2 linked regions of the Drosophila melanogaster genome follow. The protein of the gene in region 2 purifies or fractionates together with the protein of the main gene of each other region. This does not show direct contact. Each region holds a gene or a part of one and is shown on either strand. Other genes may lie near its edges.

Evidence for each region. The genes of interacting proteins can lie anywhere in the genome.
Region 1: the proteins of Tsf2 (region 2) and Cont purify together in Drosophila melanogaster (affinity purification with western blotting, with the first as the bait; one study listed by BioGRID). This does not show direct contact.

The regions. Positions count from the first base shown.
Region 1 is NT_033777.3:4,379,593-4,387,318, reverse strand, and holds Cont (contactin), read right to left. Parts: upstream 6,014-7,726; 5' UTR 5,790-6,013; intron 5,441-5,789; 5' UTR 5,352-5,440; coding exon 4,502-5,351; intron 4,450-4,501; coding exon 2,764-4,449; intron 2,429-2,763; coding exon 2,262-2,428; intron 2,199-2,261; coding exon 1,326-2,198; intron 1,270-1,325; coding exon 1,101-1,269; intron 1,040-1,100; coding exon 906-1,039; intron 851-905; coding exon 557-850; 3' UTR 301-556; downstream 1-300. Other genes in the region: Sfxn1-3 (sideroflexin 1/3), read right to left, coding at 6,372-6,616, 6,688-6,815, 7,049-7,210, 7,274-7,391, 7,495-7,644, 7,701-7,726. UniProt on the Drosophila melanogaster protein: Required for organization of septate junctions and paracellular barrier functions.
Region 2 is NT_037436.4:12,529,909-12,535,465, forward strand, and holds Tsf2 (transferrin 2), read right to left. Parts: upstream 3,817-5,557; 5' UTR 3,705-3,816; coding exon 3,644-3,704; intron 3,571-3,643; coding exon 3,143-3,570; intron 3,064-3,142; coding exon 2,930-3,063; intron 2,865-2,929; coding exon 2,704-2,864; intron 2,645-2,703; coding exon 2,193-2,644; intron 2,130-2,192; coding exon 1,965-2,129; intron 1,899-1,964; coding exon 840-1,898; 3' UTR 528-839; downstream 1-527. Other genes in the region: nst (nesthocker), read right to left, coding at 27-127; CG34242 (uncharacterized protein), read left to right, coding at 4,159-4,335; Pmm2 (phosphomannomutase type 2), read left to right, coding at 4,747-5,511. UniProt on the Drosophila melanogaster protein: Iron-binding protein and component of septate junctions that form the paracellular permeability barrier in epithelial tissues.

The sequences.
Region 1 (7,726 bases), on a different chromosome or scaffold from region 2:
ACTTAGTTCTTAGTTCTTTTTGATATTTTTGGACAATAATTAATTTTGATTTGTGATAGTTTCTGAGATCTCGACGTCCATAGGGACGGACATGGCCAGATCGATCCTGATCAAGACCTCTTCTACCTGCTACATATTTTTTAACTAGTCTGGTATACCCTTTTACTTCACGAGTATCGGGTATAAAATGCAGGAGTAGTATTACCAGGTGAACAAAAAGGGACATAAATATGGCCAACCGGGGCACACGTTCATAATTAATTCATAATTCATTATTCCAAGTAAAAAAATAGGGATATTGTTATTTTTAGTTCAGCAACATACTGGACCATATAATGGTATTCATATTTATTTTGTTGATAAAATTTTAGAAATTATTTTTTGATAAAAGTCTATAAAATGGACGGAATTGCATTTGTATCAATTAAGGGGCTTGCAAGAGAGCACGGATGGAATGTAGTTCTTTTTATAACTTCACTTACTCAAATATAAGGTCACTTCTTAGTATATGTATGTTCTTACTGCCTAAAGTTATGGATCTTAATTTGTGCTGCATTCATTGGCTTGTGTAAAGAAAGGTGCTAATGAGTAGCAATGTGCTTAAGATAAGAGCCGTATTGATATTGTGGCCATGTCGGGTATTTGCGCCGTTGCGCGTGGTCTTGCCCATCTGGAAGTGTAAAGTTGGACTGGACATGCGACCGTCTCCTCCATTGCTGTATGCGAGGACTCGCATGTTGTAACTCTTCCCTGGCGTCAGATTGTTGATGTACGACTCCAGTTTCTGTCCGATTGGCACTATGGTATTGTTGGCCGTAATCATGTTCTGGTCCGATTCCCAAATGCGAACCTAGAAAGTTTCAAACTGTAATCGATTTTCTTGGTCACGGTGCCGGGAGTTGTACCTTATAACCCTCTACTGGTTCCTCGTCTTGCGAAGGTGAAACATATCTCCAAACAACCCGCACGGTAGACGGGTTTATTCCATACACGTGAACCGAAGATGGCGGCTTTTGCGGGGCCTTTCTATATGTTCGTTCTAAAAAGCATGGTGTTTAAGCATTTTCTTTAAATGGTTTTTTAAACTGTTCGTTACACACCTTCAAAGCGTTCGCTTTCAGGTCCTTCACCTGCAGCATTGTAAGCCATGACTTTAACAAAGTAGTAAGTATCTGGTTGTAGACCTACGATAAGCGCCCAATTCCTTGTAGTACGTGACAGGTAGTATACCGAGTCTTCTTCCTGGTGCGTCGTTTTCCAATACTTCAACTGGTGAAAGATAAGGGTTTTTGACAATGCAATGGAATTAAGTGCAGTAACCATACCCTGTGGCCAATGAGTTTGCCACGAATGTTTTCACGGGACATGTCTATAGGTTGCCAAGTGACATTAAAGCATGTGGAGTTGTAGGCGAGCGCAATGGGCTTTTGAGGAGCCACCTGTGGCATGTCCTCAGCGGAGTGTATGACAGCTATTTCACTCTCCGGTCCCTTGCCAACACTGTTAATGGCTTGGACTTTGACTTCGTACTCCGTATAGTAGTTATTAAGAGGAATATTAACCACAGCCACGCCCATGTGATCCTGTTTTTTTATTTCGTCAGATGCCCATTCAATGGCTCCCTTGAGCTTCCAAAACACTTTATAGTGTATGCCGTGGCTATGCTGCTCTTGCGGTAGAAGCGGATCCCAGGTGATAGTTAGGTCGCCAATCTTTCCACCTCCACCACCCACGTTCCTCGGGGCTATGTATGGTTTGTCCTCATAGGTGCTGTAAATTGGCGAGGGGGCCGAGGGCGTTCCGATTCCCAGATCGTTTACAGCAGTAACACTAAATTCGTAAGCCGACCACGGCGTCAGATTGACAACCTCGGCTTGCTGGCGAGAGGTGTATCGATCTACTTCTCGCGCCTGCACATGGGTCGACACATTAACCCAGGTGCGATTCCAGTTTGTACGGCCTAGGATGTTGTAGTAGCGGATCGCACGACCGTTGTGCGATCCGTCCACCCACTCAATGATGGCCTTCGTTTTACTTATCTGTATGACTTGAACACCACCAGGAGCGCCAGGAGCTCCCTCAATAGAAACACTGGTCTTGCTGCTAATTTCGTTTACCGCCGACTTGACAACGCATTCGTAGTCCCCGGCATCGCGCATGCTCGTGTTATGCACTGTCAATCTGTTCCAATCTACAATCTGCAATAACAAAAAGGTTAATATAAGGACAGGTTTAGTGCAGATTTCAGAACATTAACTTACAATGCGTCCGGTGCCGTCGTGATTGTTTTTTAGGACTTCGCCGTTGTGTTTCCAAACATAAGCAATGTCGAGGAGTTCATCAAAGGCGGCCTCGCAATGCAAGAAGATTAAGTCGTGTTCCTTAGAAACGATTCGTTGTGGAGGCGTTTCAATGAAACGAATTTCCTCTGTAAATATTTGAATAAATAGGTTTACATAAGTCTTGATAAAATTTCAAGTATTTAAATACTAAATTAGTTTATTATGTATTAGTCATTTTACTCTTACTATGCTACTCAGACAATAACAAAGATAGGTGCATTAAAAACAATTTTAAAAAAGTTCTCTAAACAATGCGTTTTATCAAAGTAAATATATATTATTTATAAACTATATATAAATTAACTTTTTTAAATAAAATCATTTTGCATCCAATTGAGGAAACACAAGTAGGTTTTTTGACAAAATAAAATTACTTTTTAAAAAAAATGTATATTGCATATGAATGACATTTTCTACTTACGCAATACAATAACACGCGCGTGCGATTCGTCGGTGCCGGCTTGGTTTGATGCAATACATGTGTAAATGCCCTCATCGTCCCGCGACGTGGGTGATATTGTCAGGGTACCACTGGGCAGAATGCGCCGGTGGCCTCCCGAGCCAATCACCTGTCCATCCTTCTTCCATTGAAACTTAGGGCGTGGAGCGGCTTCCGGGTCGCACACAATTGTCGTATTGCCGTTGTAAACAGCATAGACTTCAGATTCAAGGGGATGCTTTTTAAAGGACGGTTTCATAGACAGCACTCGGAGCTGCGCCGAAGAGAAGGAGGTCTTCAGTTGGTTTTGGGCACCACATTGGTACATTGCGTCGTCTTTATCCTTTTCTAGAAATTTAATGGTTAACACATTGTCTTGGATAATGTATCGGTCGCGATTAATATTCGCTGGGTCGAGTCGTTCGGCATTTTTGTACCACGTGTAATTCGCGTCCGGAATTGCAAATGCCTCGCAAATGAAAGTCACGTCACTGTTGTAGTCTTTTATCATGTCTTTAAGAGGTATGGTAAATTGTGGGCGCATTTGAATATTGATGTATATGCTCTTCATAAGTGTCTTCCGGGGATTGGTAATCGTGCAGGAGTACTCGCCGTTGTCGTTCGTTGTCGCATTTTGGATTATTAAGACACGCCCATAGTTGATCGTGTAGGCGTTGCGTTGGAGAGGTAGGCCTTGGCGGGTCCAATTGTATGACGGAATGGGGTAACCGAAGGCCATGCACTCCAGCCGAATCTCGTCACCTGCCACTGGCGCCTCCGGAAAGACTTTAGGGAAGGTGTTGGCAAATATCAGTGCTTGATAGTTGCTGTTGGGGGTAACGCGCAACGGAAAGAAGGGTCCGTTGCGACCGGTGTCCGACACAAGGGTCTGTACGGTGCACGAGTAGTTGGCTCTGTCCACAGTTTCTATGAAGGAGAAGTATAGGGCACCATCGCGGGAGACGAATACGCGTTGATCTTCCTCCACGAAGTTAGGAAAATAGTCTCGAGCCCAGTAATAGCGTACGTCGGGATAGTGCTGCGGGGGGTCACAGAATATGGATTTGCCCCAATTCATCTCGCTTGTCTCCGCAGACCGTTTTAGATTGAATTCCATAATGAAACCGAAGTTTAAATGCGCGCTTTCGGATCGAATTCGCCCAAATTTGTTTTCTGCCACACAATGATACGCGCCCTGGTCCAGCGCTTGCTTCGGCTCGTAGATAATCAGGTTGCCTCCTGATATGGTGTATCGATCCTGCGCCAGGGGATCAATCTTTTGGTACTCGAGTCTGTCGTCTACGTATACCTCTCGGTACCATGTGTATGAAGGTGTTGGATACCCGTTGGCCAAACAGCTAAGAGTAACATCATTAATCAGGCGATTCTTGTTCACATCGAAAGTCGTGTCGTTTGGCTGCTTTACGAAATAAGGACCCCGTGGAATCCGTTCCATGTCGTTTATATCGAGTCCATAATGGTAGGGACGCTTGTCGTCTAACTTTATGTTGACATTGTCTGAGCTGTATAGTACTTTTGACTCGCATATAAAGAGATTTAGTTCAATTTCATAGGCTGGCATGAACATCCACCGATCCCTTTTCTTTGAGAAGGCGTACACAACGCGATCGCGCACATATCGGTTGTCTCCATACGGCTGGTTGGGACCTGTAAGGAAACGATGTTTAGCAAATCGACAATTTTAAATAGTGAAACTTGCCTATAAAGCCGCGAAGGTTATTTTGATTGCGCTGATTAACAGTCCCCGGAAGAGAGTTGTAAAACTGATTTGGATTATTGATATTTTGGTTGTTGAGGTCGTTTTGCACAAGGAATCTATTGTCGTGCAGATCTTCGTTTTCCAAGGGCACTTGCTCGTCCATGGAAAAGGAGTCTTCGATCTGGACTAACTGGGTGTTGTCATCGTTGACCCAATTCAACGGGCCCGTTTGCCGGGCGGAGATGAAGAATCGGTTCTGCCGTTGATTCTGCAGGATGAGATTCTTGAGTATAAACGAGTGCTTCTCTACATTATCCACGTTTATCAGGTCGGCATTGTGTGCCTTGCAGATCTTTTTAGCCTCTGCCCAGTTGCGCTTGGGCGAGCGGATGAAGCGATAGCACGTCTGTCTGAACGAGACCCAGTGCTCCGGGCAAAAGTTATCTTCATCCGTATAGGCGTCCCGGTAGCTGACACCTGCTGAACCTATGCTGTTCCGATTAAAGGGGTCGTACTGTGGGCCGAGTCCGCCGAGGTTGTTTCCAGGCCCGACTACATTGCCGCCAAGGCCCCCACCTCCTGCCCTGCCATCATAGTACCCCTTGTAGGTATTAGGGCTCTGTCCGTCGACCAGCGTATTGTCGAACTGGTTGGGGTCAGCGCTTTGCTGTCCAGTATACAGGGGGTTGTATCGCGGAGAGTAATCCTTGTTGTAGCTAGGCTGATAGTTCTGAGGCTGCTGTCCCGACTGCGGATCCGGATCCGGCAGGTTTTCGGAAAATTGGGGCGTGATCTGGCCAACTAAGTTGAGCACAAGAATACTCGCCAGAAGGCCGATTTTTGCTAGCATAGTTGGTCCTTAGCTTTAATAGCGTGGGTTCTGGTTTAGATGTCTCGCAGCAGACTAAAGGCACATTTTGCTCTGGAATTCGATAGTTTCTGAAAGCAGAACGAAAGAATGTTCTTGTTTATTTTGCCCCTCTTATGGCATAAACAAATTGAATGTAAACAGATTTGTCGATCGCAGGTCATTCAAATTTGTGATACGATGTGTCAGCACGCGTATATACAAATGTACATATGTGTATGTGTGTGTGTATATGTGATTAGGCGTGGTCGTAAGCCGCGATTGATCTTCGATCAACTGACTTTTTAGATTATTCAAGCACACTTTAGTTGTGTTTCCTATTGAACAAGGACAGTTTTAACTGACTAAAGAAGGGGGCTCAATCCAAGTAGCCCGTGCTGGCAAAACTAATTGGTCGCATAGGCAAACACTTAACCACACCTTAATTACGACTCCAGGACGCAGCACACGAACGGTTGAAAACGCTACCACTGCGAGGTGTTCCTGCTGACAAAAAAAAAAACCACGAGTTGTGCGGATCCGGACAAAATAAGTATCAGAGGCAATTTACAGCTTTTTAAATTATAGTTTAATTAAATAAAAACAAAACAGTCCAGAAGCTGAGTCGACCAGCAATTAGATATGCGCAAGCCACGACTGTGGGCTACGCTGCCATCGATGGTGCGATAGAGGCATCGATATGCATAGTCGATATCCCGCTGTAATCGCCATTCGAATAAATAGTGTGCGCGGGCCATTTGAAACTGAGTTCAGATAACAGTTAACAGATATATTTTTGTTTCATACATTTTCACTTTTACACAATCACTATAATATACACTGTAAATTTGATTCACTGACGTGTCGCTTGCTGTGAACGGTAAGCATATGCGGTCAGGCTAATATCAGGAGTATTTCGAACAGAAGTCAACAGGCAAAATGCCAATAAATGCAAGAAGGGAAATAAATAGTTGCTCAATCGAGCAGTATTGTCTCCGTTAAGCTCGTAAATGGCATAGGGCCTCACAGTCCCTTGTTGAACCAGACAGTTTCCAATTCCGGACGCTTCTTCCTAATGCTGTCGCGGACCTCCGACTCCAGGCTATCCACTTTGATGTCCGCTCGCTGCTTGAAGAAGGCGCAGCCAAGGGGCGTGGCGAAAATCAGCACGAAGCCGCAGAAGAGCGTTTGGATGGGAGCGTTGGATCGCGGGTATTTAGCCAGGAATCCCCTCTTTTCGAGGACATTCATCAACACCGGTGTCAGTGCTGAAATTGAGAATAGCGTAAGTATCGTAAGTTGTTACACTTTTGTGCGCAAGGATGTCCAGGAGACGTACTCATTCCCGGTATGGCCATGGCGATTCGACTTAGGATTACGGTTGAGATCCCAACAACGGCCGCCTTCTTTGAGATGCCCATTTCGTTGCTGTGTTCATCGAAAAGCGTCACTCCGTTGCGCAGCTCTCTGTAAAAGAGGAATATTATATACATAATTAATTCACTGTTTTACGAACGGCCGAAGTAGCGTAAATTCGGTAAACAGCTTTAATAAAATATGAATAAATTAATAAAATGCTGGTAAAATTATCTCTCTAAAATTGTAGCAGAGCTGCTCTAATCGAATCAGGCCTATTTCATAATTTTACTAAAAACAAAATGTATAGAGGAAAGAGCTTCTTTAATACAAATTTAACTTACTGCATTCGCATGCAGGGGATGTTGATGCAGTTGGCAGCTCCAACTGCCACTAGGGGGACAAGGCGACCCAAGAGCGGATTCATGTTCTTCACTGCGTGGTTCAGGGAAAGGGCCGTGACCAGGGCTCCGCTAGTGGCCAAACAGTACGAGGTAACTAGTTGCCTGAACAGGGGACGAAATCGGTGAAGTTAGTGTCGGGGACTGCGGCTGGAAGGAGGTACCTACTGCTGGCTGATGGGCGAGGTTCCCGAACGGTTCGTGTAGTTAACAATGGCGTTGAATGTCTGATTGAACCACTGCCAGAAGACGACGGCGGGAGTGCTTTTGTAGAAGGCCATCATGCCTGGAATGTGATTTAGCTATTATTGTAGTCGATTAATCAGCAGTGCGGAAGCACATAGTTTATTTGACGTCAATTGAGCACCGAAAAAGTCGCTAATACGCACCGCCGGTGATGATTGTGTTCATGGGCATCTGCGCAGCCATGCGCCCGATGACTATCTGCTTCTCCCCGGTCTCTGGATGGAACGCCGAATCGTACAGGTACTTAGCGCGCCACACGTCGTCGATGGTCTTGCACTCGGGAACATCCTTGCCTTGAAGTGCGAATAAGATTAGTGATCTAATTTGGTTACCTACTCTTCTTTCTTACCAGCCCGGTACTTTATCACAATCTGG
Region 2 (5,557 bases):
GATCGTTAATGGAGGCAACTACTCACTTGCCGCGAAAGCCAGCTGTTCCATATTGGATGGTCTCCTTGGAGGTCTTTGGGTACATCTCGCGGGCGAAGGCGTAGACGGTGCGCAGGTTAATAGACATCTTGCGATACTCGAGGGCGGTGCCACTGGTCCAGAGCGAGGTGAAAGGTTCCGTCCGGTTTTTCCGGACTTTCGAAATTTAACAATTCCACAGATGTGTGCAGGCGGGTGTGACCGTCGTTTCGCGGCACTGTTCCACCCTTGCTTATGCGGCCAAGCGGTCACACTGCGCTGAAACTTGTAACTACGCTATTTTCTTTAATTTCAAACATTTTACTGGCTTTATAAACAATACAGAGTGTTTTAAGGTTAAATGCAATATTTACCAGCGTAAATTTCAATAACATCTATGTTTCAAAGCGATGTTAGCGCACATATTCAATTTGAATTTGGCGGCTACAATTGCGGTCAAGATATTAGGATTCTTCAAATGATACTAATTCAAAATAAGCAAAATAACTCCTTTATCTAGTTATTTTATTTGTATACTTACATAAGCGGTTGTAAAAGATTCGGCTTACATCTCCTAGGTACATTTTTTGGACGGTCTTAGTTGGTATGTACACAAACAAATACTATAATAAGGCACAGGACTTTATAAATTATAAACTATAGCCTTCAACAGATATTTTTCGGCTAGTTAGAGTTTCATTTTCGGACGGAAGGGATTTCACATTTAACTTAATCATATTTGGAATGTAAAAATGTTGATATGTTTTCTCTTTGTGCTAGAGATGCTTGTAGAATTCTGAAATCTAAGTGAGTCTAGTGGCTTAGAGCATTGCAACCAGCGAACCCACGAGGAGCAGGCCCACGGATAATGCCAACTGGGAGGCACCAGCATAGCAGTCGGTGATGCGGCGTGCTCGCATAAAATCGCTGCCCAAATAGGCATCATACCTGCGCTTATTGGGCGGAATTACTTGCAGCTGCCGCGTGGCGTCCTGGAAGATCAGATCATAGTGCCCGATCGGCGAGGAGAACATGCTGAAACTGAAGGCGTCCACTTCCTTGCGACCGTACAGTTGTTGGGCATAGGTCAGCAGATTGATGTAGGCATTCATCTGGGTCTCGTTGTAGTTGACTCCGCCGCGGGTGACCACAGCATTGGCCTTAACCTTGCCCAGATTGCAGCGCTTGTAGTCCTGGATCTCGGCACGAGTACCATCCGTGCAGAGCAGCTCAAAGTCATCGTTTAGGGCATTCCTGGCCCACCATTCCTTGCGTTTGCCGCCCGTGCTTTCCATCACCGTGGTGTGCTTCATGAAGGCCACGTGACCGCCGCCCTCGACGAGGCAACGGAATGCACCCGTGTGCCCGTAGTATTCCTCGGAGGCATCGCGACGACAATAGCGATAGCTAGTTCCATGACACAGATCGCACATGCTGTCGTAGGGCACACCGGTGTTGTACTCATTGCTAATGGCACCCGGCACGCACGACTTGGTGAAGTACTCCGCGGCAGCTCGAACCGAATCGCATCCGTAGGGACGAATCCAGCCGTTCGAGATGAAAAGCGCCATCGGATATGTCCAGCCAGCGGCGGTGTTAATGCCCGTATGGCAGGTATTCTTACCCTTCAGGTAAGTTAGCTCCGTATCGGGATCATCCTCCTTGGCCACGGCAACCACATAATACTCGGGCTCGCCCAGATTGTACACCTCCGACATGAAGGGCACCAGGTCGTAGTTGAGGCCACCAGTGTAGACATCGCCGGCATCGAAAACGGAGATGTCTGCTTTGCCCGCTTCGATGAACTGCATGCAGTTGATGTGGGAGTGCATTTTCTTGCAGATGAGTTCTGGTTTCAGGAGGTGAGCTTTCAAGGCAGTCTAAAAGTGTTTTTGTAAAGGATCATCAACTCATCTTGCTATCCATATATTCACTCTTCAACTCACCCTCATCTTGATGCATTTATCAAGCTCATTCTCCGAAGTCACGCAAAGCGTCATCGCTGGAACTGGACACTCACGGATGCCGTAGATAAAGTTAATGGCAGGGCCTAGGTACTTGGTAAATGACTGATCATCTTCGGGAATCACGGTTAGAGCGCGACTAGAATCCTGTCACAAAACAATTGAATGTTAAGTATGTATTTCGGATCACGGAAAATATGATCCACTTACCTGGAACAGCAAATTTGGCTTGCCATAGCGCTTCGACTCGAAGATGCGGAACTTCTCATAGAGTATGGAAGTGTTCGTGCCGTCCTGCTGGTTTCTTTCCTCTGCAAAACTGCTGTCCAATCGTTCGCTGCGATACTGATCGTATTGATTCTGCGTTCTGTACGGATCATTATTATCGAACTGGCCATAGGCATTCTGATCGTTGATGTTGTTGCGGCTGTTGAAGCTTTGTCCTCCCTGCCTGCTCTGATCATCACGTGTGCCATCGGAGTACAGCTCGGCAATGCGCTTCAAAAACTGCTGATACTGCTTGCGATCGCTGAAGCTGCGAGCCGAAGATGTGACAATGGCATCGGCGGGCACTTGGCCCCAATTACACTGGCGATAATCGTTGATGGAGGCACGACGACCATCACGACACAGCAGCTCAAAAGTGTCGGGTGCTATGTTCTCTAAAAAACGCAGCTTAGATCAGTAATGGGTTTTCAGAAGTTTCCCTTTGGTAACTCACTGAATTCGGTGGTTTGCAGCATTTCATTCACAGTCGAATGGCGCAAGAAGGCAACATCTCCTTTTTCAAGCAGACATTTGAAGGCGCCTTCGTAGCCGAAGTAGGGATCTGCAGATGAGCAGCGTCCTCCGGGTATCTTTCCAGTGCAAAGCGTACAAAGTCTGGTTTGAAAATTGATTTGTTGTTAGTTAATGTGTGTAAAATTGTGGCTTTTATGCGTCATTACTTATCGGAGTTGTCGCCAATTGGATTGTGTTTGTCGGAAAGCGAGTACACAGCACACGAATTATTGAAATAGCTGGCGGCCGTCTTCACCTGGTTGTTGCAGTCCACCACTTCCATGCCGCCCTCCCTTTGGAGCTGCAAAACGATAAAATTTGTTTGTTAGTTGCCTAATGAAACAAATAAACAATCAACTTAAAAGAGGAGTTCTACTCACCGTGTGAATGGGCACAATCCAACCGGCCAAGCTGCCCACCCAGGGGAAGCACACCCTCTTGTTGCGCATGTCGCGCAGATTGTTCAAGTCTGGTAGAGATCCCTTCTTGATCACGGCTACGGATTGATAGTCCGCAAAGCCGCCCTCCAGTTTCTCCTGCATAATGGGTATGAGGGAGTTGTACCGTCCAGCAGTGAAGACATCGCCCGCATCCAGCGTGGTGATGTGTGCCTTCTCGCGATCAATGTGATGGATGCACTCATCCGCACTGTAGGCCATGAAGCAGGTGAGATTGAGGAACACCTCGTCGAATAGTGCCCGATCCCGCTCGATGGCCACCGTAAGGTTCTGGCATTTGTACTGCTCCGCCTGGCTCTTGGTGCACCACACCATCCGTGTGGTCTTGTGCTCATCGTAGTGATGTTGTGCTGCAAAATCGTGGTTTTAACTCATGCCAACGCCCTAGAAATGGGCGACTTTCGTATTCCAGCCGCAACTTACCGTTAGCGAGCGTAAAACATAAGGCGCCGACTAGAGCCACAAAAACGAGGCTGCTAGCCATATTCGGGATATAAGAATATTAATAAGTGTATTAACTAAAAAGATCTATCTGCAAAAACAATTACTCAAACAAAACACCACACCCAAGCCCAGCTCAAGGAAGCCAGTGTAACCAGAGCGGGCAGAAATAGACATGATTTCAAAAAATACCAACAGGTACACACAGTGGAGAATGCTTAAGTGAGATATGAATCAAGAAACATATTTAGCATTCAGGATATTTCTAGTTTAATCTATACCTATATCTATTTTTATTATATATACAGTAATCTTGTTTATTTATATTTTACTTTCTATCAGGTTATCTCTTCTGTAGTATTTACTGCACTTCACCGGTGACCACAGTAGTGTGACCACACACTTGGCGTTTTCTAGCATCTTACGGTCAACCAGGTGTTTTGTGTTTTATAATAACAAACCGAAAAGTCAGCTAAAATATTCCATATTTTAGCTAAATGGCAGTCCTGCGTGGTTGGAGATTCGTTGGATTCGTGTCCTGCATCGTGGGCGCCGTGGGCCTCACCCTATACCCCGTCATTGTGGACCCCATGGTTAACACTGAGAAATACAAAACCCTGCAGGAATACAGCAAAATCAAGAGAGATGAACTGCAGCACATTAAAAGGCAGTAGAACCCCCTGTTATGCTACACTTAAGAACCCAAATATGTGTATTCTAGTTTGCCTGATAAAGAACTGCAATGTACAAATTGCTATTAAAATAGAAACTATTTGTACCCTGACAGCATGAACTCCATGAATTAAACTGTTACCTATACATGCAGGAAAATCCAAATGATTGTGCTTGAATGTTTATACTCTCATTGTTTTAAATAGTAAACCTAACGTAAAAGGCAATTCAAAACATTAATTTTGATTGCACTTGGATTCCGGAACTGGTTCCCCTTGCCGGTGCATCGAAAGCTTTAGGGGATTTCTCACCACTGCGTTGCCGCTTGTAAAATTCTTTATCTCGAATCATACGTGGACATAAATATCTGGATATTAAACACCTGCTGATTTACCACAAAATTTAAATGCAAAATGACCACCGCCGCATTGAAGCGTGATGAAATCCTGCTGCTCTTCGACGTGGACGGCACGTTAACGATGCCCAGATCCGTGGTCACTCCGGAGTTCGAGGAGTTCTTCTACTCGCGGGTTAAGCCGAGGGCGACCATCGGAATCGTCGGAGGCTCGGATCTGGAGAAGATGTTCGAGCAGCTGAATGGCAGGAAGATACTCAACGAGTTCGACTTCATATTCCCGGAAAATGGGCTGGTGCAGATTGAGGGCGGAAAGGAGGTGGGAAAGCAGAATATCATCATGCATTTGGGCGAGGAGACGGTGAAGCGTTTCATCAACTTTGTGCTGCGCTATCTGTCCGAACTGGATGTGCCCATCAAGAGGGGCACCTTTATCGAATTCCGGAATGGCATGATGAACGTTTGTCCCATTGGCAGGCAGTGCACTCGGGAGGAGCGCAACATGTTCGCCGAGTACGACATTGAGCACAAGGTGCGCGAGAAAATGATCAAGGACCTGAAGCAGGAGTTTGCCGATGTGGATCTCACGTACTCGATTGGTGGTCAGATCAGCTTCGATGTCTTCCCGCATGGTTGGGACAAGACCTACTGCCTGCGACACATCGAAGCGCACTACAAGTTCAAGGAAATCCACTTCTTTGGCGATAAAACGGAGCCGGGCGGCAATGACTATGAGATCTATAGCGATCCTCGAACCATCAGCCATAGGGTATATACTCCCAAGGATACGCAACGCATTCTCACCGAGATTCTGGAGCTGTGAGAATTTCGAGCTTACTCAGCAGTTGAAAATATTCCATTTTTATACA